Linked DNA regions of Caenorhabditis elegans. The protein of the gene in region 1 interacts with the protein of each later gene in a pairwise test. Each region holds a gene or a part of one and is shown on either strand. Other genes may lie near its edges.

Region 1 (3,940 bases):
ATCACTGCAAAAATAGGACATGATGAAATATATATATATATATATATATGAATAAAAGCTTAGGAATTTATGAAATTTACACTTCGTTTGCAGCCATTTTCAGCTTTTAAGAAGACAGTAATGCAAAAATAAAACGAATTTTCAGAAAGTAAACGTGCCGCGCGTTTTGTCCACGTGGAGAACAACGTGGATACGCAAACACTCGAAGAACTCTGCGTACAATACACCATGTGCCCGCTTACAGTACTCCAGAAAATAAAATTTATTTTTCATTGCACACTTTTGTGCTCTGATTTCACTAATCATATGTAAATAAAACATTTATTTTACTTTTAATAATTTAAGAACATTTATATGATTCCAAGCCGAATGGACCATACGTTTCTCTGAACACTTCAGTTAATTGCGCTGTTTCTTGTAAGGACAAGAAATTTGATCATTTCTGTAATTCATGATTATTAAAATGATTCCTTCTGTCATGTGGTCGTTTTAATTTTGTGCAGTTCTGAATAATCTTGAATTGAAGAAAAAGGAAATAACTTTTTTTCAGGAATTGTAAAAGTCGTTGGAAGCAACAAAAAAAAATACGTACAATTGCTGTATATCACAGGAACGTTTAAGAAAATATAATATTAATTTAGTAGTAGGAATGAGGACGTGGATTTTAGAATTTTCATCGTAGTTTATATGCGTTGAACTATGTTGCCGGCTGCTGAACGTCCTCACGGTAGAATGTTGGCTGAAATTTGTATGTTTATTGAAAGATTAGGCAATATTCAGTATACCCGGCTCTCATTACTCGATCGTCCACTACCATTGACCTCGTCTTCACTATCCGAGGAGGAATCCTCATGGTGCAAGCGATTTCCCGTTTTTGGTTCACTTTCTTCTTGTCCTGGTGTGGCACTACTCAGACTGTCAAAGCACTGAAAAATCATGATATTTAGACGATAAAGTGTCAAACTTCACCGTACATGATCACAAACTCGGACAGGCTTCTTATGTACATTGTCAATACGGAATGTTCTCGATGAGCAGGCGCCACACACGACACGTCCACAATTTCTGCAGTGATGTCTTCTTTGAACCAGATTGAATTGAGTTTTCCCGCAGACCATACACTTCACTGCTTCACCATCGGGAACCCATACAGCTGCGTGAGCAGTCGCGGCTTGCTTATTTCCTGAAAGTAGAAAATTTTGATTGTATTTTTAATAGAAAAAAATAATTTATCTAAAAAACCGTTTTAATTTAGAGATATGGTGATTCCCAATTTTTTTGTAGAACGTATATTATTGGTCATTTAAATATGAGAATTTTTCACCTATCTTAGGCGCATGGGTCTCGCCAGGCGGACAACAAATTACTGTAACTTGTCGATCTATGGACCAATTTTGCATCACAATTTATAAATTAAATTGAACATTGCTGCCAACATTTTTTTAAATAAAAAGACCACAATGCGCCTAAGACTTATTTAAGCTTAATATTAATTAGACGAAAAATGTTGCGATTGTTGCATTAAAAATACGGTTTTCGGTCTCGAAACGACAAGATTTTTTGAAACGGAAAATGGTAAGCGCCTTTAAAGATTACGGTGGTTTCAAACTTTCTCTGCAATTTTTTGGTGGAAATTTTTTGAAAATAATTTTCGTGTATTACCTCTTTCAAGGAGATCTGTAACGCATCTCTCAATATGCAACATCCATTCTCGTTTTTCAGTTTCAGTTGCTGCATAAACTGCAAACGATTTTGCAGGTGTCTTAATAATCCATCCATGTTTCTCAATTCCATCGTCTTCCAGATCTTCTACTTGTACACCTTCCAATCTTAGAATTCTTTGCTTATTATATCGCTTTTTCGAAATCACAATGTTTCCATATACAAGAATATCATTGAACAAGAAGAATTGCCGTTGCTTCGGTTTCTTTCGGCACATTTTCACAAGAACACCTTCTCCGACAAGAACTCGTCCGAATACCGACAATTGTTCTCCCATTTTTCCAAAGCATTGTTCTACGTTAGCCATTCGACGGGAATTCACTTCACTATTCACTAAAATTTAATAAATTATTTTATAAAAGAAAATAAATAAAACTTACCAAGTCGATCAACCATTGTGTTTTGTGATTTAGAAACGATGGAAAGAATCCGCTGAAAACTTTGAATATTTCAAAAAATTCATAAATTTAGTTCGAGACGAAGAAGGTTGAAAATCATAACAAAAAATTATTTTGAGTGAGAACAGAATAAGAAGAGAGGGAAAAGGAATGTGATGAGTCATCATACACTTTATGTGCAAACAATCGGATGGACAAGCCAGTGGACCGCTGCCTGAACGAAAGAAAAAGAATGCAATGAATAAATTGTCACGAATGAATGATAAGAACAACTGGTGGCCTGGAAAAAAGGTTTCAATTAATTTTATTACTTTTTTGAATAAGATTTCGGATCTTAAATATAGTTATGCATGGTATGGGAGCAGATTTTGTAGGTTTTCCTTCTAATTAACAATAACAATCTCAATATATTTACCGAAAATAACTGTAACAAAATTACAAAATTTGAACATTGTTTTAAATGATTTTTTTCAATTTTGGAAAAAAAATGATTAAAAAGGCTAAACTTTTTCTGAATTCCCGCGCAAGTGATCTACACAATTTCGATATTTTTTGCTTTTTCCGGCTATATTAATTGGGGTTTCTTTTTATTTTATTTTGTTAATCTAAAGAACTTCTCTGAAACTCTAAATCTGGCCTCAAATCAATAATGTAAACTTGTTTTGCGGGAAAAAATGTATGAAAGTTTTACAAAATTATGTTTCGAATCAATAATTTAATAAAAACCTTAATAATATAACCTGAAAACGTCGAAACTTTAGGAATTCGTTTGCGCGGGAATTCAAAAAATAATTCAGCTCGTTTTTAAATAATTTTTAAAAAAATTTGCAATCATAAAAAATTCCATCACTTTCTAAAAAATAAATTCGGCAAAAAATCCCTCAAAACCTATACCATCTTTTTAATATTCACAGGTTTCTCGAAATAATCTGATTAAACATAAGCCAATTAGACCAATTTAGTTTAAATTGAGAAAACCGATATTTGCTGTGTGTCACCAATCCATCGGAAAGCGGCAAGAGTGAAAGAAACGCAGAGATAAAGATATAATTGATGACCAAAATAGAAGATTGTGGACATTCGGAACCATTTACAACAAGAGAGAGGTTGGAAAATCAAGAAAAAAGGTTTTATCATGGTAGTTTTGCGTAAAAATATGGAACAACAACAACAATTTTAAGCAACAACAATAATTCAACAAAAGGATTTTTCAAAAAGCCAATTCATTTAGCATGTCTTCTATTTCTTTTCCTGTTCTGATTATTTTTGTTCTTAGCAGTTCCAGAGTTATTCGACGACGAAATTTCATTCGTTGAAACCAAAATAACTTCTTCTTCAGGCTCCGGAACGAAGTTATTTTCGCGGATTTCTTTCAATTTGTCCATGAGATTTCTGAAGTTTCCCTTGCATCCAGTAAGTTCTTCTCTTGCTTCAAATGGTTGAATTCCGACGGCAAACGCTTCAAGTGGAGCAACAGGAGTAAGAAGAGAGCTACCAAACACTGGAGTTCCGATTAATTCAAACATCGATTCTCCTAGTTTTACATCTTTTCGAATCGGAGTCAAAAGGTGTTTTTCTTCTGTTGAAGCAGAGCCGTCGAGTATTATAATGGAATCTTCCTGGAAAAGTAACTGATATTGAATTTTTATTTTAATTTAATTTACTTCTCCCGGAGTATTGAACTTGTCAATTTTGATTTCATCACTTGTGATTACTATAACATCATCATCATCTTCATTAGCGAACTTTTTATGTTTCGGAGTTGATTTGGCTCTTCGTTTCTCCGCTTTTTCACTTTTCTTGAATATTTTCAGCAATTC
Region 2 (3,946 bases), on another chromosome or scaffold:
TCAAAATAAATGCACATTTTCGATTAAAAAGCAAGCGTACAGGTGTAAATCAGTGAAATTAATTAATTCAGGTTCGAAATCGTTTAAAAGCGTTACTTTTTGATTTTTACACCTGTACGCTTGCTTTTTAATCGAAAATTTGCATTTATTTTGACTCTTTCTCTAAAATTCAAGCAAAAATACACCGAAAACATTAAAAATCGGTGGAAAATAACAAAAAATAAAATAAATAAATTTAAAAACGTGCAAGCGCGCCCCATCGAACAAATCCAATTGGCGGTAATTCAAATAGGAATTAGGCAAAAACTGAGATTTTTTTCAATTTTCAAAAAATCATATAAAATTTAGAAAATTTTTTTGAATTTTTTTATTATGATATTTGGTCATTGTGGCCCCATAGGCGTGTTTTAAAACAATTTCCCCACTGAGCGTAGTCCACCTTTAAGACATAGAACAATTTTCAAAAGATATGCTTTTGGTTGCGAAACCAAGTTATTTCATAATACACATTTCCTACTGTTTGAGAAGAATATTTATCAAAACTTAAAAAAGAAAAGGTTAGTTGTAAGGTTTTTTCATTGTTTCCTCAATCACGGCGCTAATCTCAGGGGGTATATATGGGTTCTAAGATCACACTATCCGTTCGGGCTCCGTTATATGATAGGAATAAATCATTAGATTTTCTGACTCGACTGGCAATCCGGTGTAAAACATAGCCGGGGTCAGTTTGAATGCGGTGTCGAGAATGATTTCCCCCTTTTCCTCAATCGCACACATTTTGACAGGAAATGGGGTCGGGGTATCCACCAACTCTGGAAATTAGGTTCATATTTTTTCTGATGATGTTTTTTTTTTCAAAATTTCTTACTTTATGAAGACTGTGTCGATCTGCTTCTTTCCACGCCATCCTCCCAAGTTCAGCTGTCGAAGATCCCCCACGAGGATGATCGATAGCCCGCCGAAGAGCGCATCCGTCCTCTTCGGCGTTCTCTTGAGAACCATGTCCGTCGCATCCAGGTGCCAGCTCGCTAGGAGTGTGATTTCATCGATGATAATGAGTCGTGTCGTGACGCAGATGAATGCCTGATATTTCAATCTTTCCAGATCTTCAGGTTTTTCGTTCGGTAGGCCAATTGTGCAATGCAGTGTGCGCCCTCCGATCGCTTTTGCTGCTTTCCCGGTAGATCCAGTCATCAAAACTACTCTTTTTCTTACGCTTCTGTTCATTGAGTTTTCTATTAGCTTGATCAAAAATGTTTTCCCTGTCCCAGCTGCACCATTTATCATTAACAATACTTGTTTCTGAAAACGAATAACGAATTTTGGCAAAAAACATATTAAAAATACCGAAATCTGGGAAATATTTTCAATTTACTCAATTTTTTTTCTGATTCCGAATATCGATGTGAAAAAATATTTTAAAAAATACCCTGATTTTATATTTGAGCTTGAAATCACGAATTTCATTTGTGACCCGGTCTCTTTATTGAAATGCGCACCCAAAGAAATTATTTTTCGCCAAATTCAGTTATTAACCAGTTTTATTAATTTTTGTCGAGTTTTTATCGGTTTTTTTCTGAAAAATATTGCTCCAGTGCAAATTTCTTTGAGCGCGTATTTGAAAAAAAATAGACCGGGGCACAAATTAAATTCGTGATTTCAAGCTTAAATATAAAAACAGGGAAATTTTTTCAATCTTTACATATAGATATTCGGAATCAGGGGAAAATTTGGAGCAATCTAAAATATTTCCCAGATTTCGGTACTCCACTTTTGTAAAAATTAGGGAAAGAATTTTAGAAAAAATGTGTTTTGGTATAAAATGAATTTCGATAGAGAATTTTTCTAAAAATTAGGAAAATAATTGTAGAAATGTATTTCGGTAAACTATTTGAAAAAAAAACTTACGTCTTGCGAATCATCCCGAACGATCTTGTTCAGAAGTTGCTGTTGTTCGTCGTTAGCCATTGTGTGCAGATTTCCATGGGTCAATATGGTGATCTCCGTCTTCCCGACAGACGAAGAACCCTCCATGAGACGGTGACACCTCTGAAAATGTGACTGGGTGGGGATTATATGAAAAAGGACAAAAACTAAAAAACTTACCTCAGGTTTTTTGTTTTTGGTTTTGAGCAGAAAAAATAATAAAAAATATAGACAGATGAACAACACACAGTCGTTCTGAAAATTCAGTGATGACTGGACACTCTCAGCTTTTTAAATACTACTGTTATCTACATATCATCTAGAGCACCGCCTACATGTATATAATTACAATGTCATTAGCACCTATCATAATGCTCCATACTTGTTTGACAATGTTATCGCAAAATAAAGTATATTAATTGTTTGCTGCCGACCCATGCAATTATCACCTCATTACATATATGATCCATACCAAATCGCACCTCTAGATATCAATCAACAAATCTTTGATGAACAAGTTTTTAATTTAAAAAAATAGAGAAAATGAAGACGAAAAAGTTGTAAAATTTGAAGAAAATCCGAAAAAAAAACTAGTAAAAATTGACAATGAAAATAATGTATTCGGCAGAAAAACGGAAAATCGACATATAAAATTCTGAAAGTTCAAGTTTTATGTATGATAAATTATTAAATATTGACGGCTTCCATACATGCTTGAAATACTGCTGGAGAAATTACTAACCCAAAAGGTAAAACATTCCATTCAAAGAGCTCATTTCTTATAGCAAATGCTGTTATCTTCTTACTTTGTTCCTTTAATGGTATCTGCCAAAAACCTGCCATCAAGTCAAATGTGGAATAAATCTTTTTTCCAGCTAGAGACTGTAATGTTGCTTCAATGTGTGGCAGCGGATGAGCATTATTTGTGACTACTTTATTTACTTTTCTGCAGTCAATTCTCCTGGTAAATTTAAAAATTCTCCTGGTAAAATTGAAAATTCTCCTGGTAAGTTTAACAATTCTCCTGGTAAAATAGAAAATTCACCATATTTTACTCTCTGGCTTCCCACCATATTTTACTCTCTGGTTATCAATACGAAGAGTTCATCTATTGAATTTAACAGCGATCGTGGGATGAACATTTACTTTTCTCAATAAACTTTTCGGATAGAATTACTTTTGCATTCACAGAAAGGAGCTATAAGTCAATAGTTTATTCATTTTCATGTAAAAATCAAAATCGTTATCATCTTCTTTTTTTGAATATAATCTCAAAGTTTTCCCCACTGTTTCCACAGATTGGAACACAGATGTAGTCACGGATCGGGAAGTTGATGGCGTAGTAGATGCGGTAAAAGAAACTGAAGGTGTAGTCCAGGAATGCCACACAACTGTCTAATTGCCATCCGGGGGCGTAGTTTGGGCAGAAGTTGTACTGGAAAAAAGACGCAAAATTTGATTCTGATCATTTTGTCAGTTGGAAATTTTTCAATATCTCTTACCGTTGTAGAGATACGCGCGTTTGAAGTAAAGTAGTCAAGAGAGTGTGGGAGGAGGAGAGACGCAGGGGGAGGGGGTTTCAAAATAACAAAATACTCAGAATTTCGAGCTCTACTCAACGAACTAACCTTTGAAACCAAGCGATTCGTGCTAATCAACGTCTCCACATCATTCTGCAACAATAACCCGAAAACCATTTGTCCGCAGTAGTTGCAAGCATCGGTTTGATTGTTGTACCACTCGGCAGAGCAAAATGGAGTCAGAACTAGCAAAAGTATGAGAAGTTTGGAAAATTTCATGGTTTTCAGGAAAATATGAAAAGTTAAGGGAGAGAGGGGTATTTATATTCAAATTTTCGAGATTTTTTTTTTGGAAATTGACAAAGAATTAAGGGAAAATGTTTTCTATGGAGAGGCTTTTCAAACTTTTCAAGTTTCATCTGGAAAAAAAGTTCGAAGAAAAAACATTTTTTGACTGAAGATGTTTCAGATTTTTAGGAAATCTTTTTTGTCTAGACATT

The links. Proteins that work in one complex are often made in the same cells at the same time.
Region 2: the proteins of ZK632.12 (region 1) and Y116F11A.1 interact in a two-hybrid assay, tested with the Caenorhabditis elegans proteins (one large-scale study listed by BioGRID).

The regions. Positions count from the first base shown.
Region 1 is NC_003281.10:9,829,016-9,832,955, reverse strand, and holds ZK632.12 (uncharacterized protein), read right to left. Parts: upstream 2,155-3,940; 5' UTR 2,119-2,154; coding exon 2,103-2,118; intron 2,056-2,102; coding exon 1,663-2,055; intron 1,184-1,662; coding exon 975-1,183; intron 927-974; coding exon 786-926; intron 740-785; coding exon 698-739; 3' UTR 533-697; downstream 1-532. Other genes in the region: ZK632.11 (uncharacterized protein), read right to left, coding at 3,344-3,739, 3,785-3,940.
Region 2 is NC_003283.11:19,728,817-19,732,762, reverse strand, and holds Y116F11A.1 (ATP-dependent DNA helicase), read right to left. Parts: upstream 2,184-3,946; 5' UTR 2,107-2,183; intron 2,062-2,106; 5' UTR 2,035-2,061; coding exon 1,909-2,034; intron 1,303-1,908; coding exon 869-1,302; intron 813-868; coding exon 764-812; 3' UTR 521-763; downstream 1-520. Other genes in the region: Y116F11A.3 (Saposin B-type domain-containing protein), read right to left, coding at 3,173-3,361, 3,555-3,725.